Linked DNA regions of Coturnix japonica. The protein of the gene in region 3 purifies or fractionates together with the protein of the main gene of each other region. This does not show direct contact. Links are inferred from orthologs where the notes say so. Each region holds a gene or a part of one and is shown on either strand. Other genes may lie near its edges.

Region 1 (9,653 bases), on a different chromosome or scaffold from region 3:
ACGCCAGCGCCTGCAGGGTGAGATGCAGAGCCGTGCCAGCCTCCGCCTGCCGCCGGGACATGCTGTCCCCCAGCCATCCAGCATGGCCATGCAGCCCGGCTACTTGGGTGTGACGGCACCCGCTGCACCGTCCGTCATGAGCTACTCCGAGTGCGCCATGCCCGCCAGCCTCGCTGCTGTGCCACCATCCCCAGCACGAGGCTCCCTGCCTGCCACCAGCACCGCTGAGCACCCACCTCCCCCACCTCCACCCCAGACACCCCCACCTCCTACACCCAAAGCGCCGCCGCCGCCAGATAAACCTGAAAAGCCAAGGAAGGGGAGGAAAGAGAAGGTAGGAGGATGCTCCTGGGCTGTTCTGTTGCCTGTGTGCCTGCTGGCTTGGTGCTGTGCCTAACTGCAGCCTGTTTAATTCCTTTGCAGAGCAAGAAGGGCAAAACAAAGATGCCGTCGCTGGTAAAGAAGTGGCAGAGCATCCAGCGGGAGCTCGATGAGGAGGAGAACTCCAGCTCCAGTGAGGAGGACCGGGAGACAACAGCGCAGAGGCGCATTGAGGAGTGGAAGCAGCAACAGCTGCTCAGGTATGGACACGGGAGCTTTGTCATGGGGCACTGCTGTCAAGAGCCATCTCCTTTAGAGGCAGGGAGTGTGATCTGGAGTCTCTGTATTGGGGAAAGAGTGGTGGGGAGAGTGTCCCTTTGCACCACATGGGTGCTGACACCCTGCTTTGTCCCTGCAGTGGCATGGCGGAGAGGAACGCCAACTTCGAAGCACTGCCAGAGGACTGGAGAGCACGGCTGAAGCGGAGGAAAACCGCATCGAGCACATGAAGCGTCCGTGGAGCGCTGTTTTTTACAGTTGTACAGTTTGGAGCCCTTTATGACTCAACTGTTGTCCAATAAATTGTAGCAGTTTGGGATGTGCCGTCTGCTTGAATGACAAGAGGGATGTTTGGGGTTCACGTGTTTGGATTGACACTGTGGGCTGGGGATGGAGTGTCACCTGCAGTATGGGCACTGAGGGGTATGGGCCATGTATGTGCTTCCCTTGGTGTCCACCAGGGCACAGCAAACAACTCGGTTCCTCTGGCTCCTTTCCCAGCTCCACTCTGGGAACGCCCCATCCTTCACCACTGCCAGCGGTCGCTGAGCGACCGCGTCTGTGAACAGAAGGGGAAAGAAGAGGGTTGAGCTCCTCTCGAAGCCATGTGGCTCCCAAGGCACCCAGCTGCACAGGTTGGGGGTTGCCGGGGGGGGGGTTGGGAGGAGGACTGGGGGCTGCCAGCAGGGCCTGATGGCACCGTTCTGTCCAGGCTGTCCCTGAGCCCTACGACAGCTTCATGCGTGGACACCTGTGCTACTACGGCTACTTCCAAGGTGAGAGCTGCGTGTCACCTTCTTGTCCCCCAGCCTGTGGGACCCCCATCCTGGTTGGGCTCCAGCAATGCTCTCCCAAAGGCCAGAAGCCAGCCAGCCAGCAGAGCTCTGTGTCTCCATGGGGACATACTGAATGCCACTGTGCTGACTCTGGCACCCAGTGGGGCATGGGGAAGGACCCAAGCTGTGAGTAGAACCCCCAGCAATGGGCTGCAGCACTCCTGGCAAGGTGACACCAGGAGCGTTGTCTCCATCCCTTCCAGCTCGTGCTGCCTGTTCTCTGCTCAAACTGCACCACGGGGCTGGGAGCTCCCTGGGCCGTTCTGCAGCCCCCAGGGCCCTGCAGATGATCCCCTTGCAGGGTTATGAGTCACCCAGGGAGCCACGGGCTCTCTTTGCCCTTCCCTCAGCACAAGGACCACTTCCTGCTCCCCGCTGGCCCATTGAGTGTGAGGTCATCAAGGAGACCATCAAGCACATTGGTGAGGTAGCACTCTGCCTTTTCCTATCCTTGTCCCCATGGCTAACCCCTGCGACGATAATGGGGTTTGACTCTATCCCTCCCTAGAATGGATCCCCCCTGAACCAGAACCCTTCTACCAGCCCACAGACCACCCACAGCTACCAATGGGTGAGGAGCAGGGCACCATCGTCTACCAGCTCAACCCAGGTAGTGCCCAAGGGTGCTGCTCCCCCCCTCCTCACCCTCGTGCTACCCCTGGGGTGCTAAGCCCAGCTGTTCCCAGTGCCCTCAAGCTCCTGCTTCACCCGTGCTCGGGCTGGGGGAGCCCCAGGCCCCCTTTCCTCACCGGCAGCCACCCTAGAGAGCTCCCAGGACAACACGCTGCTGTTTGAGTCGCGCTTTGAGGGTGGCAACCTCCAGAAAGCAGTGAAGGTGTAAGGGTGGTGGTGATGGGAACAGGCAGCGGGACACAGTGACGTGCCAAGGTGCCTAAGTGTGGCCCTTCTGCCCACCAGGGGCCCCTATGAATATGTGCTGACGCTGCGGCCAGACCTGTACACCGCCAAGCACACCCAGTGGTTCTATTTCCGCGTGCAAAACACACGGAAAGACACCTCCTACTGCTTCACCATCGCCAATCTGGCCAAGCCGAAGAGCCTCTATGGCAAGGGCATGTGCCCGCTGTTCTACTCACAAAAGGATGCCCAGAGCCACGGCATCGGTTGGCGCCGCATCGGCACCAACATCCGCTATTACCGAGGGGGCAGCGGGGAGGAGTCGGCCGCCTTCCGCCTGTCCTGGAGCGCCTGCTTTCCCCACGACAGCGACACGTGCTACTTCGCCCACTGCTACCCCTACACCTACTCGGACCTGCAGCGGTACCTGCAGGCAGTGGCGGCTGACCCAGCGCGCTCACGGTACTGTGCAGTGCGGGTGCTGTGCCGCAGCCTGGCCGGTAACATGGTCTACATGCTCACCATCACTGCTCCATCCGGCGGTGCAGCCAAGCGTGCAGTGGTGCTGAGTGCCCGGGTGCACCCAGGAGAAAGCGGTGGCTCCTGGGCCATGCAGGGCTTCCTCGATTTCATCCTCAGCGCCGCTCCTGATGCTCAGCTCCTGCGCCAGCTCTTTGTCTTCAAGGTGGTGCCCATGCTCAACCCCGATGGGGTGGTGGTGGGTAACTCCCGCTGCTCTCTGGCCGGCCGTGACCCCAACCGTGCCTACAGGACGGGGTCTCAGGGGTCTTTCCCAGCCGTCTGGCACCTGCGGGCCATGGTGGAGAGGTGAGGTTGGTGATGTAAGAGCAGCCAGAGGAGTGTTGGATGCTATATCCTTAATGGTACCTGTGGGGTGTTGGATGCTGTATCCTGACTGGTACCTGCAGGCTGTTGGCGGAGAGGGAGGTGGTGCTGTACTGTGATTTCCACGGGCACAGCCGCAAGAACAACGTCTTCATGTACGGCTGCGACGGTGGTCGGGATGGCTCTGAGATGCGGCTGCGGGAGCGGGTTTTCCCACTGATGCTAAGCAAAAACGCACCTGACAAGGTGGGCTTGGCGCCTGGTAACCTGCAGTGGGCAGCAGCACAGTGACATCGGTTGCTGTCACGGTGTGGGGCCGCAGTTCTCCTTCTCCAGCTGCAAGTTCAAGGTGCAGAAGAGCAAGGAGGGGACGGGCAGGGTGGTCATGTGGAGGATGGGCATTGCCAACAGCTACACCTTAGAGGCGGCCTTTGGTGGCTCCACACTGGGTGAGGGGCAGCGCTGGTGATGGCGTCACACTCAGAAGCCCAAGTCCAGCCCTAAGGACAGGCTCTGGGGCCTGGTGAGGGATGCAACTACTTCTTTTGTTATCCCACAGGTGGGAGGAACTCACACTTCACTGTGGAGGACCTGAAATCATTGGGGTACCACCTGTGTGACACACTGCTAGACTTCTGTGACCCCAATCCAGCCAAGGTGGGTGGGTGACTGCAGGCAGCAGCAGCCCCGCAGTGCAGTGACAATGACACCGGCTCCATCATACAGTTCCAGCAGTGCCTGGAGGAGGTGGATGCATTGCTGCGGCAGCGGCTGGGCTCTGGGCAGAGCTGGAGTGACGTCTCCACCTCAGAGCTGGAGTCCAGGTGTGTCCCGGTGGTGACATCCATGGGAACAGTGACAGTGGCACTGGCTGCAGTTGTCTTCTCCCTCACACAGCACCAGCGGCTCTGACAGCTCCGTGTCTGACGGGTCCCTGGAGAGGAGCGAGAGCCCCTGGGGACAGAAGGGACAAGGTGCCAGTGTGGCACCTCAGCTGCAGCTGAGGAGGAGGAAGCGGTTCTGGAGCCGCAGAGCGAGGAATGCCATGCGCAGGCCCAATGCCACCCAATGGAGTCACAGCGGTGACCCGGTGAGCGTGGCTCAGCCAACCTCTGCCTGCCATAGTGGGACTCGCAGTGCCTTCAGCCCCACTTCTGTGCCCCAGCAGCCACAGCCGTCGCCATCTGTCCCCGTCCCCACACCAAGAGGCCGTGAGGAAGCAGAGGAGCTGCACGGAGCCGTTCCAGGTGCACACACCACATACCACCGCCACAGCACTGCCATGGCCACACGGGGTGCCATCTCCCCCATCTCCACCAGCACTGCTTCCTCACAGCAGGGCAGGGCGCGGCCTTCCCCACGGGGCACCACAGCGGGGCTGTCCCTGCGTGTGGCTGCTGCTGCTGCTGGCTGCGGGAGGCGGCCCGGCCTCACAGCGCTGCGCTGCTCCGCCTGCACTCGGCATTAAAGGCAGCTTTGTCGTGGCTGCGCCGTGTTTGTGTCGCATGGGGGGAGATGCTGGGCTGCCGAGGGCCGGCTGCCATGTTGTCCTCATGCTCCTGCAGGCCTCGGGCTCCCAGGGTTACGTAGGCCGCGTCGCAATGGCGACCAGACCGGAAGTAGGAAGCGAGCGCGCCGGAAGTCGCCAGGAGGCGGAAGCGGAAGCGGTGGAGGTGTCCTTTGGGCCGTGGCGCCGGGGCGGCAGCATGGCGGACGAGGCTTCGCAGTTGCTGCTGGGCTCGGGGCTGACCGTGCTCTCGCAGCCTCTCATGTACGTGAAGGTGCTGGTGCAGGTAAGGGGGGGCCGGGGGGCGGCGCAGCGCTTCGGGGGGCGGCCGTGGGGACCGTCCGTGCTGTCGTACCGCAGGTGGGATACGAGCCGCTGCCGCCCACCCTGGGCAGGAACATCTTCGGCCGCCAGGTCTACCAGCTTCCAGGGCTCTTTGCCTACGGTGAGTGTTCCAGCACGGCCCCGTACGGCGGCGGTATCACACAGCGGGTCTCTGATGCCGCCCGTCTCTCCTGCAGCCAAACACATCGTGAAGGTGGATGGCAGAGCGGGGCTGTTCAAAGGCCTGGCCCCCCGGCTCTGCTCCAGCGCCATCGGCACCGTGGTGCACAGCAAAGTGCTGCAGGTACCGTGCCCCCCTGCGTGCGTTCATTACCAGCCGCCGCTGGTGGGTCAGTGCTGACACTGTGCTTCTCTCCACAGCGGTACCAGGAGGCTGAGAAGGCTGAGGTACGTGGGGGCTTTTAGGCTGGGGGGGTATTTCCAGGGGTTACCTCATGCTTTTGCCTCTCTGCAGCCAGGAGCCAGCAAGAAGGAGCCCGTGTCCTCATTGGAGCAGGTGCTGAAGGAGGTGAGATGAAGGAGGTGCTGCAGGGCTCCCCTCTGCCCGCTCTTTTTGCCTCTGACAGCTCTTCTCTCCTCCAGACCTCCCAAGAGATGGTCGCTCGCTCTGCTGCCACCCTCATCACCCACCCCTTCCACGGTACGTACCCCCGTGGTTCCCTATAACCACCACTCTGCCTCTGTGGACATCATGGTGATGGCCTCGGTGCCGTCCCGCCGTGCCACACTGAGCTCAGCTCTGCCCGCAGTGATCACCCTGCGATGCATGGTGCAGTTCATCGGCAGGGAGACCAAGTACAGGTACAGGGGGGAAACCACAGGGAGCCATGTCCCCCATGGCTCTGTTTGGTGTGACCGATGCCCTCTCCTCTTCTTCTTGGTACAGCGGAACACTAAGCGCCTTCGCCACGATTTACCGAGAAGAAGGCATCCTGGGGTTCTTTGCGTGAGTGCTCTGGGTTGTGGATGTACTCGTTGGGCAAGCTAATGGCATGTAATCACAGCACCTGCCCCACGTTCATAGAACCACAGGATGGTTGGGTTGGAAGGGACCACAAACCCCCCCATCACATCATGCTGCACAGGGACCCATCCAGCCTGGCCTTGGGCACCCGTAGGGATGGAGCACCCACATCTTGTGTAATCCACTATGTGGTTGTTTGGTGCCTGGGGAAGCATCAAACCATGCCTGTTATTTCCTGAGTATCCACATTCCTGAGGCTGTGAGCTCTTCAATTGAGTGTAGATCTGCTGCCTCCTTCTCCTAAACCTTAAACTTCTTCCCTTCCAGGGGCCTTGTTCCTCGGCTCCTTGGAGACATCATCTCACTCTGGCTCTGCAACATGCTGGCCTACCTCATCAACACATACGCGCTGGAGAATGGGGTATGTGCTCTGTGCCAGGCTGGGGGTGATCACAGTCTCAAGGGATGCTCAGGTCTCCAGGTGGGCTTCACAGTGCCTTCCTCCCCCCCAGGTCTCAATGACGGAGATGAAGAGCTACTCGCAGGCAGTCACCGGGGTGAGTAGAACCCACAGGGACATGTTGGGATGCTCATGGTGTTCCCCACTGAGCAGCTTTGCTTTGCCTTGCAGTTCCTCGCCAGCATGCTGACATACCCCTTCGTGCTGGTCTCCAACCTGATGGCTGTCAATAACTGCGGGTGAGCGCACTGCCACCACCACCACCACCTTCCCTCGTCTCTCATGCTCACCATGTGTGCGTGCCAGCCACGTCAGATGTCCCCAAAGGAAGCTCCCAGAGGGCAAGAATGGTTCCCAACCCCCCAAGGCTGAGCAAGCGTGGCCATGGGGAGGTGCGGGGTGGGAGCTGGAGCCTCAGCAGTGTTACAGATGGAGCTCAGGGCTGCGGAATGATGGGTCCTATGTTATCCCTGGGTGGAAATAACACTGTGCTCTCCTTACCAGGCTGGCTGGGGGCCTGCTCCCCTATGCACCCGCCTACTCCTCCTGGCTGGACTGCTGGAGCCAGCTGCACAAGGAAGTAAGAGCCACTATGGGGCTGCCACTATGGGGCTGTTTTAGGGCTAAGGGCAGCCCTGAATGACTCCCATGCTGCTCCTCATTCTGTTCCAGGGCAACATGAGCAGAGGAAACAGCCTGTTCTTCCGCAAGGTGCCCGCAGGGAAACGATACGTGTGGGATGAGAGGAGGTTCCGCTGAAGTGGGGGGGTGGGGGGGAGCGGAGCCATAAACCCACATTGATCTTTACCGAGAAACAATTATGAGCGAGTGGTGATTTCTATACTTTGTTTTTTTGTTTGGTTTTTTTTTTAATCATTTAATTTTGAGCGATGAAAAACATCTGTGTGAGTGTCTGTTGTGGGGCTTTTGTGGTGGGGGGGTGGATCCTGCCTTGCCTGGTTGATCTCCACTGTTCCAAAGAGGCTTGAATGTGCTGTGTCAGGGCTGTGGGGCAGGAGGGGAAGGTTCAGGCACACCTTATGTTGCTGCAGTCCTTTGTACATCCGGCAGCAGCGTTGCACGCCCGCTCAGGGCGTTGCATGCCCTGCAGGGGAGGCTGCACCCTATTGCACCCATGTACCCAGCGTCCCATAACTACGCCGTACAGCCGCTGGGAGCGCTGCAGGCCCCCGGGGGGGCGGGGGGCGGTCCTTCCCTCCGTCCCGGGGCGGTGCAGTCATGCGGGTGGGCAGCTGGGTGAGGGGTGTCCCGCATCGCGTCACGCTGTGCGGGGCCACGGAGCGGCGCTGCCGGCGGCTGCTGGCGGAGGGGGCGGCGGGGGGAGGCGGGGAGGCGGGGGCTGCCGTGCTGGTGCCGCTGTGCTCCGTGCGGGGCCGCCCCGCTCTGCTCTATACGCTGCGCTGCAGCCGGCTGCGAGGGCCCTACGGCGGCGATGTGAGGTAGTGCGGAGGGAGATGGGGGTTATGGGGTGGGGGGCACCCCACTCAACCGGCCCTGCCGCAGCGCTGCCCCCCCCCGCCCCGTTGTAGCTTCCCCGGGGGGAAACGGGAGGCGACGGACAGTGGAGCGGAGGGCACCGCGCTGCGAGAGGCTCGGGAGGAGCTGGGGCTGAACCTGCGGGAGGACAGAGTATGGGGGCGGCTGCGAGGGCTGCCCGAGAGGGTACGGAGCGGGGACAGGGGGACACAAGGGGGACATGGGACATGGGAAGGGTGGGGACAGTGTATGGGGAAGAATGAGGACAGGGACGCTGGGAACGGAATGGGGATGTGGGGGTAACTGCAGTGGGACATGGGGCATGGATCGGGGGACACGGGGCTGGTGGTTGGGAATAAAGTGTAACTGGGGGCAATGGGGACACCGTGTGGCTGGGAAATGGAACAGAGGTGACCGGGACCAAGGTGACAGGGACACTGGGGACACAGTGGAGATGGGGCGAGTTGGTGGGGATACAGGGATGGAGTGTGTGGGGATGGGGACATTGGGGTTCAGGGAGGATGGGGCTGGGAGGTGGGACAGTGGGGCCTGGGAACAGGGTGACAGGATGGAGAGTGGGGCAGTGGAGACACATGGATGGACATGGGGTGGCTGGGGATAAGGTGGCAGGGACGTGGTGGGTTTGGGATGGGACATATGGGGTGGCTGCAGCATAGTGCCATTTATCACCCTGTCCCTCTGCCACGTGCTCCTTGCTAGCAAGGGATGCTCGTGGTCCCCGTGGTGGCCAACCTGGGACCCCTGGAGGACCTGACACTGTCCCCAAACCCTGATGAGGTGGGTGACCCCCCTAAACTTCATCCCCATCCCCGATGCCACCCAGGTGTGTCCCCCCAACCCTCTTCCTGCCTTTACAGGTGGCTGAGGTCTTCACTCTGCCTCTGGAGCACCTCCTGCAGGAAGAGAACCAGGGCTACACCCATTTCCGCACTGCGGGTCGTTACGGCTACACTCTGCCCGTCTTCCTCAACGGCCCCCACCGCATCTGGGGGCTGACAGCCATCATCACCGAGCTGACATTGGAGCTGCTGGCACCCGACCTGTACTGCAGGAAGACCCACGTGCCTGCCCGCGGCGTCATTGCTCCCCAAAAAAGGGCTTGAGCTGCACTTTGGAAGGAGCCGAGGCTCTGGGGGTGATGGAGGTAGAAAGTGTTGGGATGGAGGGTGGCATGGTTACACCACTGTCCACCCTCTCTGTGCCACTGGTTGATGTTTAGATGTGACTTTATTAAAAAGCCATGTTTCAAACCACTTCAGTTGCAGCAGTGTTTATTAAGGAGCCCCAAGACTGGGCAAGAACCCACCGGGAGCAGCGAAAGCACATTGCCACTGCTGCCACCATTCTGACCTCCTCATGCTGAGGCCGCTCGTGCTTTGGCCTCTCCGAAGCGCCGCATCCTGTCCTCCAGCTCCGGCCTAAAGTGGCGGATGAGGCCCTGGGTTGAGAAACAAAGCAGGGTTGGTGAGGCTGAGAGTCAATCCCCTCAAATCCCATTGCCATCCCATAGTTCACCTGCACGGGCCAAGCGGCACCATCACCCAGTGCACAGATGGTGTGGCCTTCAATCTGCTTGCTGATCTCCCACAGGGCATCGATCTCAGCTGCCTGTGCGTCGCCCCGCACGAAGCGGGCCATCACCTTATTCATCCAGTCAACACCTGTGGGGACAGGGACACGGTGATGGGCCCTGTGTCATAGTGATGGACCCTGTGACAC
Region 2 (9,746 bases), on a different chromosome or scaffold from region 3:
GATAGGTGTGGGCAAACAGAGCAGGGCTGCCGGGGCACACGCCGTGCCAGAATGCTGCACCACGAAGACGTCAGAGCTGCCAGGTGGCCCGACAGAACCCTGCGGGCAGCAGGACAGAACCCTGTGGGAAGGACACGCCTGCTGCGGGCACCAATGCTCTCGGAGGGAAGCTTGGGGCTGTCGGCTCCTGTCTGTCTGCTCTGGCATCCCCTATGCCAGCTGGCAGGGCTGCGTGGCCGGCCCCCAGCGTTGCCAGGGCACAGCCCAGAACCAGCATCCCCTCAGCCCGCCCTCGCCCTGGCTGCCTGCTTGGATCGGGGCTGGCCCCAGTGGTACATGCTGCTCAGGAAAGGACGGTGCCGCTGCCACTGGGAACATCCTGGCAACAAGCAGAGCCCTGCCCGGAGCCTGTTGTGAGAGCAGGATGCCCTGACACGATCGCTGGTCCCACTGCTCCCTGCTTTGGGAGCCTCACATTCTAAAGAGCCGGCAGAAGCTGTATCCCTCTAGGCCAGCATCATCTCCTGTGCGGGGACTGGATGACTTGTCACCGTGTGCTTTGCACTTCCTTGCTCAGTCGGGGGCCTTGGCCTCAGCACTGCTCCTCACCCTGGGGCATGGAAGAGCAGCACCCAGGCAGACTGTGCTGGGGCACACACAGCACTCCCTGAACTGTCCCTGTCTGCATCTGGAAGTCCCAATTTACAATGGGATGGGTCTGGGGGAGCACGAGGCAGCACCTCACTGGGGGACTGGCATGGGCTCGGGGAGCAGCAGGAAGGAGCTGGGCTGCAGGAGGCCCGTGGGAGGTTGTGCTGGCAGCGTCGCTCTCCTGCACGTTGCGGCGTGTGCCAATAAAGGCAGGTTTTCCAAAGAGCTGCAGCACCTTCTGTGTGACAGGACCGTGGCAGCAGCCAGAGGCTCTGCAGCCGAGCCTGCTCCAGTGCAAAGGGCAGCTGGATGGAGTGTCCCTGCCCTGCCCCTGAGCTGGTCTCACAGCACAGCCGGCACTGAGGTGCTGCCCTGTGCTCAGCGGGGTGCAGGCTGAGCTCTGATTGTGCCGAGGGGCCCCAGGTGTGTAGCAACAGCCGTGGCACGTGCTGGGTGCCCGGCGGGCCTGGCAGCTCACAGCACTGCCTGGCTGGGGCAAGGCCTGTAGCTGCAGCGGTGCGTGACATTGAGACGTGTTGCCCTTGGCTGAGCGAGGCTCGGGCTGCTCGGGAGTGTTTGGGTTTGAGAGGTGACTTCAGAGCCCTGTGACTTCCTTTTCCGTCTCCGCTGCCGTCCTGCCGGCAGTGCCCTTGTGTGTGTCAGGAAGGATGCTCAGTGGGAACGGTCGGGGCCCCGTCAGCGCTGGGAGGCTGGAGCGGGGCAGTGCAGCCCCTGGAGTCCCCCCACCTCCCCCCATCCCTGTCCTCGTCGTACAGCTGTGCTGCCCGGCCCTTATTCCTGCACACGGGTCCCAGCCCGGTGCTCCCCGCCGTCGGGACGTTCCTGCCCTGGAACAGTCGCCTCATTGTCTGCGGTCTGGGGCCCCCACGCGCCCACGGCGCTGCCCTCGTGGGGCTGAGTCAGCGCCCGGCGCCTGCGGGGTGACCTCTGCTCCGCCTGGCGCTGCCGCCCCGGGCTCGAGGCCACGCACCGCTCCCTGCACCTGCCTCAACCGCAGGTGACGGTTCCGTCCCGTGCTGCCGCTCCCGCCCCGCGGACCCGGACCGAACGCAGCGGCCCATGGCGGCGGTGCGGGACGGGACGGCGCGTAGCGGCGATGCTGAGCGTGCCGCAGCCCGGCTGCAGCGCTCGGGCAGGTCGGGGCCGTGTGCGGGGCCGCTCCGGGCTCGTTGCGTTCCAGCCGGGGCCTTTGCCGGGAGCGGAGTGGGAGTAGAGCGGTATGCAGCGTCGTGCACTGTCTCACGGCCGCCTTCTGCTTGCAGGGACTGACTGCGGTGCCGTTCGGATCCGGCCTGGCCCCCGAAGGAGCCCCGCCGCTGGCTGCGGAAGGTCTCCCCGAGCGCTTCTCCAGCCCCGCCGAGCGCCCGGCGCCGTCCTACAGCAGCATGGAAGAAGTCGATTAGAGCAGCGCGGGCACCCGCCATGGGGCTGCGGGCCGGGCTGGGCACCGGGACGGGTGGGGGGCGGGCACGGGTCGGGGTTTGTCCTGCTCTCATTAAACTTGCTGAACTCCGCTCGTCTCTGCTGCCTGCTGCCCGCCCCGGGCTGCGACCCGGGTACTGCGTGTCCACCGCGCTGCCTACAGCCCCAGTGTCCCCTACAGCCCCCGGTGTCCCCTACAGCCCCGGTGTTCCCTACAGCCCCAGTGTCCCCTACAGCCCCCTGTGTTCCCTACAGCCCCCGTTGCCATGCAGCATCATCCCGGCGCTGTCACCCGCCGTGCCGGTGCATCGTGGCGCTGCTGTCGGGGAACACCCGATGTGCCCTCGTGCCCCGTGTCCCCGCGTGCACCCAGGTGTCTCCCGCTGTGCCCTACGGCCCCGAGCACCGCGGTGGATGTGGCGCCCGGGGACGTTGCTCGGTAGGCGCGGTGGGGGTGGGCTGAAGGTTGAACTGCAATCGCAATCAGATTAGGTGATCTCAGAGGTCTTTTCCTCCTTCAATTTCGTATCGATTTACGTCCCCCGGGGCGCCCTGCCGCCCCAAGCGCCCCGCGTTCACCCCGTGTTCGCCCCGTCACCCGCTGCGTCCCGTTGCCCGGTGCCCGCGTCCCGGTGCCGGTGGGGCGGACTGCAAGTCCCGGCAAGCCGCGGGCGGGCGGCGCGGCCAATGGCTCTCGAGGGGCGGCGCGGCCCGGCTCTGCCTCCGCCGCCGCCCGGTGCCGCGGCGCAGAGAGCCCCGGAGCGGCCGCGCGGCGCCGGCCCCGCAGCCCGGCTCTGAGCCGCCCGCCCGGCCCGGCCCGCCCCGCCGCGCCCCGCCGCCCTCAATGAGGTTCTTCCGACTCACCTTCAAGTGCTTCGTGGATTGCTTCTGAGCTCCCCCCGGGCACGGAGCCGCCCCCGAGCCGCCCCCGGTCCCCGGCCCCCCGCGCCATGCCCCCCGTCCCCGCCGACACGGCCGCCCCGCAGCCTCCCGCCGCCCCGAGCCGCGACGCCGCCGCCCCGACGGGCTCCGGTAAGAGCGGGGCTGAACCGGGCCGGGGAGGGATGCGGTGCGCGTTGGGGGGGGTGGTTGGGGGGGGGCCTGCACGGCCGACGCGCGACCGCGGCGCGCCCCTCCGGTCCCGCGCGGGGTGAGTCACCGCTCGCATTGTGACGTCACGCGGCGGGCTGACATCTGACGTCACGCCCCCACGCGCGGAGCGAGGGGCGCGGGGGGGGATCGCGCGGGACATGGGGACCCCCCCCCCCCGCGTCCCCCTTCCTCCCCACCCGTGAGCGCTGGTGACGCGGCGCTGCCCCCCCACCCCCCCAGTTCCCGTCCGTGTCCCGGCAGAGGGCACCGAGCCCCCCGCGGCGGGAGAGGAGCGGACGGTGACGGCGCCGCTGGTGGGAGCCCCCGGCCCCCCCAGAACGGCCGCCCCGGAGCGGGAGACATGGACCCGGCAGATGGACTTCATCATGTCCTGCGTGGGCTACGCCGTGGGGCTGGGCAACGTCTGGCGCTTCCCCTACCTGTGCTACCGCAATGGAGGAGGTGAGCCCCGGCGCGGGGTGTGTGTGTGTGTGGGGGGGGGTGGTGGGGGTCCGCCACCTGCCCGCCCTGACCTACATCGGCGCGCGGCGAGGGGGAGTGCGCCGAGTGACGCTCGCCATTCGCTGCGCCCGGCGGGCGGCGCGGGGGGGACCGGCGAGGGGGGGACGGCACGGCTGAGCCGTACCCTGAACGGCCGCGTCCCCCCCCCCAGGCGTCTTCCTCATCCCCTATCTGCTCATCGTCTTCGTGGGCGGCATCCCCGTCTTCTTCCTGGAGGTGGCCCTGGGGCAGTTCATGAAGCAGGGGGGCATCGCGGCGTGGAATATCGCTCCGCTCTTTAAAGGTATTCGCCGTCCTCCCCCCTGCTCCGTGCCCTGCGCGGGGCCCCCGCAGCTCCCTGTCCACGCCCCGTGTCCCGCAGCCAAGGATGGCAGCTCCCTGCCCTGCCCTGCAGCTCCCCGTTACCGTCCCCGAGAGCCACGAGTCCCCACTGTGCCCATGGCTGATCCCACGCCATCCCTTTGCCCATCATCCCACACCTGCACATCCCGTCCCCGCCATCGTGGCACATCCTCTCCCCCTGGATCACTGTGGGCACACAGAGCCCCGTGCCAACCCCACCGCCACGTTCCAGGTCTGGGCTTGGCCTCCATGGTGATCGTCTTCTTCTGTAACTCCTACTACATCATGATCCTGGTGTGGGGGCTCTTCTACCTGGTGCACTCGCTGACCGACAAGCTGCCCTGGGCCACCTGCGGCCACGCGTGGAACACGGAGCGCTGCGCAGAGTTCTTCCACCTGGAGCTGTGCCGTAACGCCAGCGCCAACGCCAGCGCCGCCGCCACCGCCCTCAACGTCAGCTGCTCCGACATGCGCTCACCCGTCATCGAGTTCTGGGAGTGAGTGTGGGGACGGCGCGGGGCGGAGGGGACGGGGATGTGTTGGTGCTCAGTGCCACCCCGCCATGCAGGAACAAAGTGCTGCGGCTGTCGGGGGACCTGAGCGAGCCGGGGGAGATGAACTGGCAGATGATCCTGTGCCTGGTCTCCACCTGGATCATCGTCTACTTCTGCATCTGGAAAGGTGTCAAGTCAACCGGGAAGGTAACGCGGTCCCACGGCTGTACGGGAGGTGCCACCAGTGCTTGGGGACGTCCAAACCCCAGCCCTGATGGGGACACAAGTGGCACGGGGCGTCCTGCCCCATAGCACCTCCTGCCCCACGGGGCTCTGACCAGCTCCCTGTCCACAGATCGTCTACTTCACGGCGCTGTTCCCCTACGTGGTCCTCATCCTGCTGCTGGTGCACGGCGTGACGCTGCCCGGTGCACTGGGTGGCATCGTTTACTACCTGAAACCCGACTGGTCCAAGCTGGCTGAGGCGCAGGTGAGGGCGGGGGGGGCAGCGAGGCCATGGAGAGGGACAAGGGACACGCAGTGCCCCTAAACCCCAGCGCCGTCCCCATGCCCCAGGTCTGGATCGACGCTGGCACTCAGATCTTCTTCTCTTACGCCATCGGGTTGGGCGCGCTGACGGCACTGGGCAGCTACAACCGCTTCCACAACAACTGCTACAGGTAGGGCTGCGCCGCCGGGACCCCGCAGAGCCCCACAGAGCTCCTGCACAGCCCATAACCCACTGTGCCCACAGGGACGCCTACATCCTGGCCGTCATCAACAGCTCCACCAGCTTCTTCTCTGGCTTCGTCGTGTTCTCCGTGCTGGGCTTCATGGCCTCAGAGCAGGGCGTGGATATCTCCAAAGTGGCCGAATCGGGTGAGTGGTGCGTGCTGCGGGCCCTGTGTATCCTACAGCGGGTGGCACCGCTCACCCTACTGTCCTGCAGGTCCCGGGTTGGCCTTCATCGCCTACCCCAAAGCCGTCACACTGATGCCCCTGTCCCCGCTGTGGGCCACGCTCTTCTTCTTCATGCTCCTGGTGCTGGGGCTGGACAGCCAGGTACGGCAGTGGGGACGGGGACGGGGCTGGGACCCTGTGCCCCTGCTGACCCCTCTGTGTGCCGCAGTTTGTCGGTGTGGAGGGTTTCATCACTGGCATCCTGGACCTGTTCCCCCAGCCGGGGGCCGGCTCACTGCGCCGTGAGCTCACGGCCGCGCTCTGCTGCATCGTCTGCTGCCTCATCGACCTCTCCATGGTGACACAGGTGGGGACGCGCACGGACATGGGCCAGGGCCGGGCTGTGCCTTCCCGTGGCATGGGGCTGGAGCTTCCATGGCTGTGTGGGGTGTCTGTGCCATCTGGGGTGGCTGTGCCATTGGAGTGCTCTTGGACTGGGGGTGTCTGTGCCGTTTGGGGTGTTGTGTGTGCCATTGGGGTGCCCATGGCGTTGGGCTGTCTGTGCCATTTAGAGGATCCATGACATATGGGGGGTCTGTGCCATTTGGGAAGGTTGTGCTACTGAATGTGCCCATAGCACTGGGGGGTCCCTGTCCCATTTGGGGTCCCCGTCCCATTTGGGGTCCCTGTCCCATTTGGGTGCCCATGGAGCAGCCCGGTGAACGCAGTGCTGTCCCGCAGGGCGGCATGTACGTGTTCCAGCTGTTCGACAACTACTCAGCCAGCGGGATCACGCTGCTGTGGCAGGCGTTCTGGGAGTGCGTGGTCATCGCCTGGGTGTACGGTGAGGCTGTGGGGATGGGGAGGGGTGCAGGGATGGACACCCGTGGGACCCCGCTGACGTCCCCGTCCCCGCAGGCGCTGACCGCTTCATGGACGACGTGGCCCGCATGATCGGCTACCGGCCGCTGCCCTTCATGAAGTGGTGCTGGGCCGTGGTGACGCCGCTGGTCTGCGTGGTGAGCGGGGACGCGGTCGCGCGTGGGTCGGGGGGCGCTCGGGCGCCCTCGCGTGGCCGTGTGCGCGCTGCCCCGGCCGGAGCTCCGCGGGCTCCGGGCTCCCCCCGGCGGCGGCTGCGGGCACGGCGGTGGGTGGGGGGTGGGACACTCGTGCGGGGGGACGCGCGTGGGGACGGCCGTGGGAGCTCGCTGCCGCTCCGCGCAGGGCATCTTCTTGTTCCACGTGGTGAACTACAAACCGCTGACGTACAACAAGACCTACGTGTACCCGTGGTGGGGCGACGCCATCGGCTGGGTCCTGGCTCTCTCCTCCATGCTCTGCATCCCCTGCACTGTCATCTACAAGCTCCTGCGCTGCAAAGGCTCCTTGCGCGAGGTGAGGCAGCACCGGGCCACCCTGGTCCCTGTCCCCGTCCGCACCTGAATCCATTCCCTGTTCCTTCTGGCATTTCCATCCCATCACCTCACGTTGGTGGCTCAGTCCCATCCTGAGCTGAATCCCATCCTGATCCCTGATGCCTTCTCCCCATCTCATCACTGTCCCCATCGCTGTCTCGCTCAAAGCCAACCTCATCCAAATCTCATCCCCGCTTCTATGATTGTCTCTGTTCAAATCCCATCCTTGTCCCCATCCCTGTCTCTCTCTCAGTGCCATCTCAGTCCCCATCCTCACCCTGCCACTGCTGCCCTACCCCCTCTCTCAGTCCCATTTCAATCCCTTCCTCCCAGTCCAAATCCTATCCCTGCCTTATGCCCATCAAAACGCCATCTCTGTCCCCGTCCCCCCTAATCCAAACCCCATCCCCACCCACATGCTCTGTTCTGTGCCACGTCCCCAATGCTGACCCCATGTCCCTGCAGCGCTGGCAGCTGCTGACCACGCCAATCTGGGGCCACCACCACCTGGAGTACCTGACGCCCGAGGCCGAAGCCAAGCTGCTGGCCCCAGAGCCCCCCAAGGAGAAGACAACGCTCTTCGAGACTGTGATCTGAGCGTGGGGAGGGTCGCGCTGCTCCCGCCCGCCATAGCAATAATGCCAGCACCACCTCCCACCCATGCAGCCCCGCGCCTGGGCCCCCCCCGCCGCACTGTCCCAGCCTCTATGCAGGGAGTAGGGGGTGGTGGGAACCGCTCGGGGACACGGGGACGGGGCGGCCACGGGGGTCCCCAGCGCCGGGAGGGGGGTGTAAGACATGGGGTGTGGGTGGTGGGAGGGGGTAAGTGAGTAGGACAGCTCCTCCCTGGCCTCCGTCCCTATGCCCCACTGCCCCCCAGCCCGGCCGCCCCGGCCGGTGGCACTTCGCTCACTAACCGCTTCTGTAGCGTTTGTCTGGTGTAACCCCAACCGCCCCGACATCTGGCAATAAACTGGGAGACCCTGGCACACCCCGGCTTGGGATGGTGGCACCAGGTTGGGAGGAACTGGGTGTGGGGGTGGTGACACTGAGGGGCTGTGGAGAAGGGGCCACCTCTCATTGCAGGAGGCAGCTGCTGCCCTGTGCCCACTTGGCTGTGGGAGGGCTGTGGGACTGAGAGTTGCACAAGCCTGTGTTTGATGTGGGGCTGGGGGTGTCAGCGGTGTATGCTGCCCCAGGAAGTCCATGGGCATCCTGCCCAGCAGTGAGGTCAGGGATGTCCCCATCATGAGAGACAGGGAGGGAACAGTGGCACCGCCTGCCCAGGCCGTCGCTGCATCATGCCTTGTCACACCACCACGCCATGTCATACGGCTCTGTTGTAACACCCTGTGCTGTGCCGTGGTGGGGGGCTATGCCATGCTGTGCTGTGCCAAGTGGCCATGCCATGCCAAGTGGCTGTGCTGTGCTGTGCCAGGGGCTGCACTGAGTCCCAGTGGGACCGGGGCACAGTGGGGTCTCATCCTGGGACACTGGCTGGTCCCACCGCTGCACCCTCTCACCCCACCACTGTGATCCAGCCTTTCCGGCCCCACCGCCATCTCACACCATAATTAGTGCAGGCAGGGCGGAAGCTCCCCTACTAATTGCCGGTGACTCGTTAGTGCTGGAGCGCCATGTGCCTGGGGTGCGGCAGGACGATCCGGCAGGGCTGGTCTGCGGGCATCCCGCTGTGCTGTGCGGGTCCGTGGGGCCGTGGCGGGGCCCTCATGTCACAGCATGTCACAGCCCTGTGATAAAAGCAGCGGCTGCGGGGCGGCGTTGGGGCACAGCAACACAGAGAGCAGAGGCAGCGGGACGGGGCAGGGAGGGCAGCCGGGGACAGGAGGTGCAGGGGCTGCGGGCCACACAGCACCATGAACAAGATCACGGTGTATGAGCGCGCCGACTTCGAGGGGCTGAGCCGTGAGTTCACCTGCGATGTGCCCGACCTGCACGAGCTGGATTTTGGCGACTGCATCGCGTCGCTGAAGGTGGTGGGGCAGCCCTGGATCGCCTACACGCAGCCCAAGTACGAGGGCGAGCCGCACGTCTTCGAGGAGGGTGAGTACGAGGCCGTGGAGCGGCCCAACAGCTTCTCGGCGCTGCGCCTGGTGCACCACGACCTGCTGGACCCACAGATCACCCTGTACGAGCGGCCCCACCTGCAGGGCGCCTGCAAGGTGGTCAGCGAGGAGACCAACCTGGCCTACGGGTACTTCAACGACCGCGTGGCCTCGCACGTGGTGCAGCGCGGGGTCTGGCTGCTGTATCAGCACCCCAACCGCGGCGGCTGGCACTGCCTGGCCTGGCCCGGCGAGCGTGTGGACGACTATGGGGCACAGCTGAACTTCCAGGCCAGGCTGTCACACCTGCGCCCGCTGCGGCCCGGCCGCCCCACGGTCACCGCACGGCTCCTGTGGGACCAGAAACGCATCGAGGAGGAGCGGGAGGTGCTGGTGGATGAGATCGTGGGGGTGAACGAGACCGAATCAGAGCAGGCGCTGGCGGCCGGCAGCACCCGGGAGTACAGCACCACGCTATGGCAGAGCTTCCGCTTCAGCAACGCCACCAGCCTGCGGGCCGGGCTCTCCTTCACGCTGACCGTGGAGGCCGGCAACGTGTTCACGGTGCACAAGGGCCGCAGCGAGTCGAGCACCAGGAGGGAGCGCAGCGAGGTGGCCCTGCCCGCCAAGGTGCCGCCGCGCACACAGCTCACCGTCCACGTGCTGCGCAAGGAGGTGACGCTGTCGGTGCCCGTCGTGCTCACCATCACACAGAACGAGGCGGTGCGCACCGAGATGGGCGAGTACCGCAGCGTGTCGGGCACCAACGTCTGCGCCAGGTTCAGCATGAGGCCGCTGCCTGCTGGTGGCACCGGGACGGA
Region 3 (9,892 bases):
ATTAGATTTGGGGGAGGGGAAGGAAGGGCAGCACAGTCTTGGAAGAGACAGAGCTATGCAGCGTTACAAAGATATGTAGAAAATAAATCAGCAAACACAAGCTAAATGCCAGGAAAAAGAACTGCTACTTTTATATAAAAAAAAGGCAAAGCAACCCTAGTTGAATCAGTCTGGCTAACACCTATCACTGGAGCTGACTGGGATTTGGAGTGAGACCAAACAAGAATAACACTGAACTGCAAAACCCTCCCACACTGCCACGCTCTTCTCCAGCCCATGATCATTCCTGAGAGGTTTATTACAGCCCCAGAAGTCATAAAGGTTCAATGTTGTTTGGGTGTGAGCGTGCAGAAGTGCTGCACAGCGGTAAGCCACAGCCAGACTGCAGGAGGCAGCTGCTTTAGCACCGTGGGTGAGCTGCCCTGCACTTCCCACTGGTAGGACAGCGCAGGCCTGAAGATCCTCACGTGGTCACAACCCCAAACCGCTACCTTCATTGTTCTCACGGTGACTTGTGCAACTCATCTCTAACGCTGAGGTACCTTCATCTCACAGGGCTGTTGGAACACGACACCTGTGATTGCCCTTGAGCTATGGCTCAAATGCATACAAGAGCCACCACAAGCTCGTGGCTCTCTACACCAGAGGGAGCACATTCTATACTCATGATCTGGATTACATGAGCCCACTGAAGTGTACAGTCTGCCTGCATGCCTCTTACAGTGCTCGGACTGAAAAAGAAAGGAAAACATTTAATCCTTTGTGCCATAATGAACCAGCTGCCACCAGCCAAAGAGACCAAGATAAAACTCCCTGAAGTACAGAAGTAGATACAAAATAGGCAATTTCTAATGCAGAACACCTTGTTTTCCAAGTCGGTTTCTTTCATACATAGCCAATGGGAGCTGGGTTTAATTATAATCTTCTTAAGTTCTTAGAAAAAGTAAATACAGACAGGGTGTTCTCAATTGTATTAGCAAAAACTTTCTGCACATCAATTAATTTTAACCCCCAAAATTAGAAAGACAAATATTTACAGCAGAGAAAGAACAAAAACATTTGAGAAGCACTCTTGAGCTGTTCAGGGCTGGTAGAACACTGGAAAGGCATTAATACAATAATATGAACAAATGAGACGTTTACATAGTTACCTTGTAGTAACCTACAGCCCTCCATCTCCTTCCTGAAGGATGTAATGCTATGACATGATCACCAGCTGTGACTGTGCTCCCTTAGTTCAGGCAGCCAAACACACAAGTGAAGTTAGCTCAGTACCTCAACCTTAAATTCATCCTGAAGAACCAACAGAATCACAGAATTGTAGGGGATGGAAGGGACCTCTAGTGATCATCGAGTCCAACCCCCCCTGCCAAAGCAGGTTCCCTACACCACGTCGCACAACAACAGCTTTTCTTTTGAAACAAAGCTCAGCAGTACTTTTCTGTGATAGCAGATAGCATCCCAAAGCAACGTACCACCACTCTGCTTCCTGAGCAGGCACTGCCATCACATACCACCAGCCAGTGGCCTCCAGGAGCCTCTGCAAATAAAACAAGCTTCTGACGCAGAGCATTGTTCTCACCTGTAAGCACTCAACTTACTAAGCCTGCACTGCCATTTTTACCTGGGGTTATACTTCCTTCCTGTGATACACCACAAGATGAGGCACAGTGTGTGGTTTCCCACTGCTTGCTCAAGCTTCCACTGAGCTTCTGAAGGGCTGGAGTGCATTCTCAGTGCCACAGCGACAGCAGGGAACCTATAGAAAGGCACACTGCAGGAACTTCTTAAATAGCTACAGGTAAATCACCTCACGAAGCACAGCACTCTACATGCTCCACACTACTTTGTTCCTGCAAATACACATGGCTCTTTGTGGCCAGGTCAGCAACCTACCTACACTTTGCTATCTCTGGCCTCGTTTCAATGCCTCACCACCTGACCTATCATTTGCAACATACGAAGCCTAAGCTTGGGGGATGGCCAGGACACGAGTACAGAAGAGCCCACATGTTTTGCGTGTGCTCCCAGCTGCACTCAGGTCTCCGGTTCCGGGGAGATAAAGCCCAGGTTTCCTTCTCCTTCACCTCTGCACTGCGGCTCACAGCAAAGCCAACAAATGGCTCTGACAACTCAGCCTCAGCGACCCCCAGAACACGGTTTGTTTGGTTTTTGCTTTGTTTTCTGTTTCCCTTCCGATTCTTTCCGAGCTGGAACTAACCGTACAATCGCTACTGAACCACGGATTTCTGGCTAAAATACAAACTGAGCCGCTCGCCGAGCGTTCTTACAGCCAACCACAACGAGCACAGAAGCGAAGTAGAGCAAGTACACACGTTAAAGCCGAGCGGGGGGAGAACGCGGCCAATCCCCCGCCGCACCTACAGCAGCACGGGCAGCACAACGCGAGAAAACGAACCCAACGAGGCTCGGGCCCGACGCTGCCGCCTGCCGGGGCGGGGCCGGGAACAAAGCCTGCCTCAGGGCCGCTGCCCCCGGCGCCGCCGCACGGTCACTACGAAGCGCGGAACCTCGGCCCGCGAGGCCCGGCCGAGCGCCTCCCGGCCACGGAGCTGCCGCCACGCCGCCTCAACACCGCAGGGAACGAGCGGGGGAAGCTCGGCAGGGCCGGAAAGGAGGGACGGAGAGAGGAGAGGAGAGGGACGGAGCGAGGCGGCGGGGCGGCGCTCCAGCCGGGCGGCTGTACCGAGGGCAGCTGTGCCGAGCGCCGCCCGCCCCCGGCCCGCCGTAAACAAAGTGGCCCGGCCGCTCATCCCAACCAAGCCCCGTTTCCGTCGGAGCGCTCCCTCCCCCTCCCCACGGTCCGGCCGCCACCTCACCCTCACCGCTCCCGGAGCGCCGCCGCCCCGCAAAGCGCCGCCGTCGGGAAGCGGGCTCTGCCGCTCACGCCGCTTTATGCCGCTGTATCCGCCGCTCCCTCCGGTAACTCGACGGCCCGGCCCGGCCCGGCCCGACCTCCCGCCCCCACCGCCCCGCCACGAACCGCCGCTCACTGGGGCGCGAGCGCAGCACTCACACGGCACCGCCCCCACGCCCCATCCCCATTGGCTCCTTCTGGTCGAGCCCGCCCTCCAAGCCCCGCCCCGCGGCGTGACTCTCGGCCAATCAAAGCGCCACGCACGGCGGCCTGCTGTCAGGCGATAGGCTGAGGCGGTGGGTAGTCCCGCCCCCCCAGAAGCGCTGGCTGCCAACGGGGCCGCGCTGAAAGGAGCCTGGCTCCACGATGAGCAGCCAGGGACTGAGTTCCCACATCCCCCACAGCATCATGCAGGCTTTAACAACAAGCTGTTAGCCAGATTTACCCAGAACGGGAAGAATAAAGTTGTTATCTGTACCCAGAAGCATTAAATAAACTGCCTTCAGAAATGAGTTAAATAAATCAAACTATCGGGAATTCAAGTTATCTTGCTTTGGGATGAACGGTGTGTTCAGGTGTGGACAAGGCTTCGTTCGGTGATGAGCAGAGATTAAGGCTGGCACCGATCTGTGTTACCAGGCAGATCGCAGTCGCATTCTGTGCTAATTTCACTCACTCTACATGCACGTTCCCTGCTGATTTCTGACACCTTCAGCCTCTACACCTCGTATTTCCTATCTTCAGGCACAGGCTCTTTCTGTGCACTCATCTGGCAGCAGCAATTTAAGCCTCTTCACTTGAATCCCAGTGTTCAGAGAGCAGGGCTGGCTGCGGGGCTGGCAGGGAGCACTACATTCCAGGCATGTAGAGGCACAGCGCTGCACTGACAATTGGCGCAGCAATACTGACACTTTACAAGGAAGCTTGAAAACAAACCGCATTATCACAAACATCTCCCCTCTCCCCTCCATCCCCCTTCGGTTCTTCCTGCTTTCTCATCCCCAGCGCTCACCCGCTATCACCCATTGCAATAACAAAGCCCTGCAGGCTCTGCTTTCTGAGCACACTCCAGCACCGCTAAGAGCTGTGTGCCAGGTTCCTCCTTGGGCAGCATTTAAACCAAGGGGAAGGGAGCCCTGTATGCAGCCAAGCAAGGAGCCTGGTGCTAACAACACAGCAAATAAAAGAACAGCCGCATAGTGATTACCTTCATAGGATTCGCAGTGCCGCAGCTGTGCCTGCTCTCACGTTTATTACAGGGTGGCTCTCCTTAAGAAGGCAGGAAACGAGATAAGGCACAGGAAGGAAACGTTCTCTATTGAAATTAATGCTTTGCGTCCCGCCTGCTGATGCACCCAGCCTGTACACCGAGGGAAAGAAATAAATAAGAAAAAAAAAAGGGCAGAAAACAGCGGAGCGGGTCCAAGCACAGCACTGCCACAGCGACACGAGGCCCCACGTCCTCCTTTGCTGTTCCCACAGCAGAACAGCTGGCTGAAGCTGACAGCCCCGACCCAGCTCCCTGCAGCCCCGACCCAGCTCCCTGCAGCCCCGACCCAGCTCCCTACAGCCCCGACCCAGCTCCCTACAGCCCCGACCCAGCCCTACAGCCCCGACCCAGCTCCCTACAGCCCCGACCCAGCTCCCTACAGCCCCGACCCAGCCCTGCAGCCCCGACCCAGCTCCCTGCAGCCCGGTACCGACCAGGCCCAGCCCGGCACCAGGTTCGGCCCCACGCCGCCCCGAGCTCGTCGCGCATGCGCAGTGCTCCGCAGCACTTCCGGGTCGGCCGCAGCCTGGCGGAGGGCCGTCAGGGCGGTTCCGGTGGCGGTTGTGTCGGTGCGGCCGGGCCGTGCTGGCTGTGAGCCGCCATGGAGGCCGGGCAGGGTCCCGGCGGCAGGGAGCTCGGCGACCCGCCTGAGGTACGGCCAAGCGTCCGGCGCCGTTGGGCCTGGAGGCCCCGGGAGCTTGTGGGGGCCGTGCAGTACTAGGGCCGTTCCCGTGAGGTGCGAGGCCGCGGCGCCACGGGTGCACTGCGGTGTGGCTGCAGTCGGGCCCCGTGTAGCTCCGGTCAGGCCTTGGCCCGCCGTTCCGTGCCCTGTGGCCCGCCGTGCCCTTGAGGCCTGCTTGTCCGTGACCTTTTGTAGGTGGGAAGGGAAATGGTATAACCACAGCTTTTCTTTTCTTTGAAATTAGATAAATACCCAAAGCTATGATTTCACTTGGGGCCTCTGCACCTTGACAGGGAGTCCAATGGAGTATATCTGAAGGCACTTAATGTCCTCTACTCAGCTGTAAGATGGTTGCACAGGGAGCTGGGGAGAAGTGCTCACTTCTTCATCATAGCTGTGTTGAAGTACAGGCGCTATGAGGTCTGAAAGTCACAAGTTTTTAATGGAAGAATCCCCTTAAATCCTTTTGCTTTCTCTTATTGCTCTCCCCAATGAAAGAACACGGTCCCTAAGCACTATGTGCCAACAGAAGAGGAACGGAGGCTCCTCAAGGAGTGTGCTGAAGAGAGCGCCCGCTACCGAGGTGAGTTGGGTTTGATAGGACCTTCTCCCCCATTTGAACTAGGATGCATTGCATTCCCCTCCTCAATGACCTGATGTTGCCATTCCTGCCTCTTAATGTTTTTCTGAAGATTTCTTTCATTCCTGAAGCGCGGTAGTTTTTGCACATCACAGTGAAAAGTGGGGATGGGCTCTGATTTGTTAATCTTTTGTTTAATTTCTACACCTGCTAGTTATGGTGATTTTATGTTTGACTCCCAATTTTTGTTTCCCTGTGGCTGTTTTTTTAATTTTTAGTTATCATTTTATGTTACGTGTAGGCCCACATTGTAGCATTTGTTTCCACTATAATGTATCACTTGTCTTTGATGTCCAGAATATTTGTGCTGGGCTTATAAATCATTTCTGAGCTCTGAAGGTTAAGCTGAATTCCCCTGCAATAAGTTCTGCTAGATTTTTTAATGTAACTTTGTTTTTTCTTTTAACTTAGATTCAAATCTAAGCTCGCATTCTGTATCTCAGAGAACCTGATCTTATGGAAGATCTGCCGTAGCATCTCTAAAACTCAAAGGGTTCTAATATTCAGTGGATTGGAGGGTTACATTCTCTTTGAAATGTTGCTTTGTTGCTTTAACTTCACTTGTAAGCCATAGAGCCCGTACTTGTTCTTAAATGTGACATCTGGCCATGTTTACCCTAATGTTGGATTCCTAATCTATCTTAGCTCTGTCTGAATTTGGGAAGCAAAAAGCAACAGTCTGCAATGTGTATTTAAATAGTGTTGTAAAAATTAAAATTCTGTTTATTTTAACATAGGAACTTAATTAACAAATTACATGCTTCAGAACACTAAAAACTTAGTGCTGTTTACAATAGAAAAATATCCCCCTAGACGAAGTTAATGTAATTCAAGTAGCCTTTTTGTAACATCTATGTTTGCAGTCTTGCTTAGTATGTAATTTCGTTATGAGTTCTGATGCCATTACCTTTAACTTTGTCAACATTCTTGGATGTTAGGGGGAAGTTCTTCACTAGGAGAGTGGTTAGGCCCTGGAACAGGCTGCCCAGGGAGGTTGTGGATGCCCCGTCCTTGGAGGTGTTCAAGACCAGGTTGGACGAGGCCCTGGGCAACCTGATCTAGTAAATGTGTATGTTTGGTGGCTCTGCCAGGCAGGGGGGTTGAAACTACATGATCCTTGAGGTCCCTTCCAACCCAGGTCATTCTGTGATTCATTATTTCAGTGTTATTATATCTGGTGTGTTCTTGGTACTATGAATAGTTTCATAACAGCGTTATCTTCCAAACATTATAATTGCTTGGAAGCATTCCTTTTGCTTCGTGCCATCTCCAAGTACTTCCTGCTATCTGTAGTCATTCAGTGTGATAAAAACTGATGTAAATGGTCAAGCAGATTGTGACATGTAGTAATGCAGTTCTGCGTTCATTGCCTTCTCTGCATTTGATCCTACCCCAAAGTTGGGTAGCGTGATCCATAAACTACAAAAACAACCTGCTCTGTTATTTGATTGCTGATTGACTCTTTGATTTCATTGACTCTTCTGATTATCTCATTTTAATCCCATTGTTTTGTATCTCTTAGAGAGTTGGAATTATTTAAACGATCTCATAATAAAATCAAACCTTTTGATTACCAACCATTTTTAGAGGCACTGGCTTCTATGCAGCCATCTCTTCTAAAAGCCTGTGTAAACTTTCAGGTTTAAAGTGCTGTGTTTTGATGCTGTAGGAGCTGTAGCTGGATGTCAGCACCTTGTCCCTTTTCCCCAGCTGCAACTGGCTCTTAGGTTTTAGGAAGCTTGAAGTTCGAGGACAAGATGACACATTAACCAGTATTGCATAACTTGTAACGGGTCTCAAAAGCTGGAACTGAGAATGTTTCATAGCTCTTACAGTTTGTTAATTGTGCATATACTCATATAAATGAATTTAGTAAGACATAGTGTTTTTCGTTTTATTGCCTGTTCTGTTAATTACATTGAATACTGTGTTGAAATAACTTCTCTTCTTCTTCACAGCTTTTCCTTTGGCTGCAGCAAGCATGCTGGCTACTAGTTTCTTAATCAAAAAAGGTAAACTGTAAATATACCTGGTTTCACTTGTATTTGCTGAGATATGACCTTTCTGCTTAATTAAGGAGCTATAATAATTTTTACATCTATGGGTAACTAAGAGAGTTCAGACTTAAGCTATATGGCATGCACTTTCTGAAGCTAAAGAAGGAGCAGAACTTTAAATGAAAATAAAATTATTCTTCCTTTTGTTTTGCTCTACAAATACAGTATCACTATGACTATGAAACAATAGATTTGACTGAACGTAGTGGTACTCTGTGATATGATTAAAGAGCTAATTCTTAGGTTGTTAGAATTGCGTGGGCAATTGCAGTGTTAGGTTTTCTTGCATTCTTTTGAATGTTAACAGTAAAAGTGTTGTCCACTACTCTTGGTATTATGCAATAGAATTCTGATTTTGTATTCATAGAACAGTTAATGGGTTGGGTTTTTTTCAACTTAATAACTTGTTATTAATTACTTTGGTCTCTCATTTTCAGGCATTCTAAGAGATAGCTCAAGATTTGGCTCCTTTACTAAAGTTGTATGTAAGTAAAAGCTGTGTACAGATTAGCTGGCATTTGTGTCTTAGGTTCTGGAGTCTGTTACTCAGCTGTAACTCCCATGAAACCAGCTGGCTCACTGACTATGACTTCACTCTGTGCTTAGATCAGTAAAACTGCTTGAAGATCATGCCTACACAATCAGATATATCTAGTGAGTAAAGTTCACCTCCTGCAGTGGATTCTATCAGACAGTAACTTCTTTGCAATGTTTCTTAAAAACAGCATATGTTTCTTAAAAACAGCATATAATACTGGGAAAAAAAACTGTACACTATCAAGAGGTAGAGCAATTAATCATATTTGAATTTGTGCAGCAGATTTAGGACAAGTTTTCTTTTTAGGCTTTCTATATAGTTGTAAGATTGGAACTGTTCTTCACAGCAGTAATATGAGAATGAAAGATAAAAGCACTGTAAACAGGCATTGTATAAATTTCCTTATTTATTTTCCTTTTCATTGTGGTCTGCTGGGGGTCAGTATCCTTTGGTGATGGAGATTAAAGAGGAATCAGAAATTCATCAGAAATAAATTCATGCTTAGGAGTGTGTGTAGGAATGTAGCCTGTTGCTATTGAAGCATCTTATTCAGAGTGTTACAACTGTAAAGAACTAAGTAAAAATGTTCTTTTGACCTAGCTTTTGTATTTTCCTTGTCTGTGTAAACTTTGCAGGAGGGAAGAAACAAACACACACAAACATTTTCTTTTGCTATCACCTAAACTGTGTATACTAGCAGTTTGTGATGCTTCTATCAGAACCTCATTTTTGAACATATTTAATATTTGCAGAATCTGTTCAATATTTTTGCTTTGGCAAGTAGAACTTTTTTACATTGCTTAAAAGTTTGTAGGTCCAAATAATATCTCCTAAAATATTGGAACAATATACTGCTGCTGCAGTGCAGTTGGCTTGAAGGACTTTGCCAGGGTACACCCACCCCTCCCTTCCTAATTTGAAGGTCATTATTCATGTGTCTCACTTATCCCATTCATCCTATTTTAGTGCTTTTTTTTTTTTTTTTTTTTTTTTCCCTGGATGTTCTGTTATACAATTATGGGAAGACAGCAATTTCTCATGAATGATTTTGGGTTAACTATAATTAAAAAAAATAATAAATTAGCCATTTGAATGTAATACATAACAGTAAAACAGGAACTCACCATCTTGCCAATCTCCTTAGATGCAGCCAGTTACAGCCAGTTATTATCACAGTTTACTTCAGTGGGAAGAGGGCAAAAGCCATGATTTGTGATGAAGGAAGTGTTGTTTAGGCAGATAAATGAATGTGAGAGACCAGGGCTGCCATTTGTTTATAGCAAGTTCTACTTGCTTTTTTCGAATGCTAAACAGTACAAAGATTTCTAATGGATAATAGAATTACTATTTTCCTGACACCTCCTACGCATATGTCGCTGAAGACGATGTTCCATGTATTTAGCAGAACTACACTTTGAAATGGGCCAGACCAACTGTTCTTGAAACTGTGGCTAATACTTCTAACTTACCTTCAGCATACACTGGTGAACATATAGGCTTTCATTTTAAGTGAAAAGAATTTCCATTAAAAGTGTGTTTTGGTTGCCTTTCGGTAGGTTTGTGCAGGTTAGCAGATACAGTTTGATTACTGGACTTTTGGGGGGGATGCAGGTTGTGGTTTAAAAGGCTTGAGTTAAGCAGTTCTCATTCCATCCTCATTGTTTACGTCAGATGTGGCTACTGTCTACAGGTTCTTCCTGGAAATGATTGCCAGCTCCACGTGGTGTCTCATAGTTTAACTGTACATTCCCATTGCAGTGAAATCTGCTTGAAGGAAGCAACGCTGTTGTCATTATTTTTGTTTTCTTTTTCCCCCATGGGCTCTGA

Evidence for each region.
Region 1: the proteins of OCIAD1 (region 3) and MTCH2 purify together in Homo sapiens (affinity purification with mass spectrometry; 3 studies listed by BioGRID and IntAct, with this or other methods). This does not show direct contact. The link is inferred for Coturnix japonica from reciprocal best matches to the Homo sapiens genes OCIAD1 and MTCH2.
Region 2: the proteins of OCIAD1 (region 3) and SLC6A8 purify together in Homo sapiens (co-immunoprecipitation; 3 studies listed by BioGRID and IntAct, with this or other methods). This does not show direct contact. The link is inferred for Coturnix japonica from reciprocal best matches to the Homo sapiens genes OCIAD1 and SLC6A8.

Annotation. Positions count from the first base shown.
Region 1 is NC_029520.1:552,185-561,837, forward strand, and holds MTCH2 (mitochondrial carrier homolog 2), read left to right. Parts: upstream 1-4,774; 5' UTR 4,775-4,846; coding exon 4,847-4,933; intron 4,934-5,007; coding exon 5,008-5,092; intron 5,093-5,168; coding exon 5,169-5,275; intron 5,276-5,352; coding exon 5,353-5,379; intron 5,380-5,446; coding exon 5,447-5,500; intron 5,501-5,574; coding exon 5,575-5,632; intron 5,633-5,741; coding exon 5,742-5,793; intron 5,794-5,878; coding exon 5,879-5,938; intron 5,939-6,283; coding exon 6,284-6,377; intron 6,378-6,468; coding exon 6,469-6,513; intron 6,514-6,587; coding exon 6,588-6,655; intron 6,656-6,920; coding exon 6,921-6,996; intron 6,997-7,088; coding exon 7,089-7,175; 3' UTR 7,176-7,316; downstream 7,317-9,653. Other genes in the region: FNBP4 (formin-binding protein 4), read left to right, coding at 1-334, 424-581, 740-830; AGBL2 (cytosolic carboxypeptidase 2), read left to right, coding at 1,206-1,235, 1,313-1,562, 1,640-1,858, 1,945-2,046, 2,123-2,273, 2,355-3,122, 3,224-3,386, 3,463-3,589 and 3 more; NUDT8 (nucleoside diphosphate-linked moiety X motif 8), read left to right, coding at 7,656-7,876, 7,967-8,099, 8,634-8,711, 8,792-9,037; NDUFV1 (NADH dehydrogenase [ubiquinone] flavoprotein 1, mitochondrial), read right to left, coding at 9,289-9,372, 9,450-9,595. UniProt on the Homo sapiens protein: Protein insertase that mediates insertion of transmembrane proteins into the mitochondrial outer membrane. Catalyzes insertion of proteins with alpha-helical transmembrane regions, such as signal-anchored, tail-anchored and multi-pass membrane proteins.
Region 2 is NC_029527.1:9,107,163-9,116,908, forward strand, and holds SLC6A8 (sodium- and chloride-dependent creatine transporter 1), read left to right. Parts: upstream 1-3,838; 5' UTR 3,839-3,942; coding exon 3,943-3,991; intron 3,992-4,282; coding exon 4,283-4,547; intron 4,548-4,618; coding exon 4,619-4,751; intron 4,752-4,899; coding exon 4,900-5,034; intron 5,035-5,120; coding exon 5,121-5,224; intron 5,225-5,298; coding exon 5,299-5,423; intron 5,424-5,493; coding exon 5,494-5,606; intron 5,607-5,673; coding exon 5,674-5,811; intron 5,812-6,185; coding exon 6,186-6,288; intron 6,289-6,362; coding exon 6,363-6,463; intron 6,464-6,668; coding exon 6,669-6,839; intron 6,840-7,324; coding exon 7,325-7,456; 3' UTR 7,457-7,848; downstream 7,849-9,746. Other genes in the region: USP19 (ubiquitin carboxyl-terminal hydrolase 19), read left to right, coding at 1-5; sodium- and chloride-dependent creatine transporter 1-like, read left to right, coding at 3,045-3,126, 3,448-3,648, 3,746-3,825; epidermal differentiation-specific protein-like, read left to right, coding at 8,737-9,746. UniProt on the Homo sapiens protein: Creatine:sodium symporter which mediates the uptake of creatine. Plays an important role in supplying creatine to the brain via the blood-brain barrier.
Region 3 is NC_029519.1:59,794,444-59,804,335, reverse strand, and holds the start of OCIAD1 (OCIA domain-containing protein 1), read left to right. Parts: upstream 1-4,653; 5' UTR 4,654-4,749; coding exon 4,750-4,800; intron 4,801-5,328; coding exon 5,329-5,413; intron 5,414-7,428; coding exon 7,429-7,482; intron 7,483-7,964; coding exon 7,965-8,012; intron 8,013-9,034; exon of another isoform or gene 9,035-9,888; intron 9,889-9,892. UniProt on the Homo sapiens protein: Maintains stem cell potency. Increases STAT3 phosphorylation and controls ERK phosphorylation. May act as a scaffold, increasing STAT3 recruitment onto endosomes. Involved in integrin-mediated cancer cell adhesion and colony formation in ovarian cancer.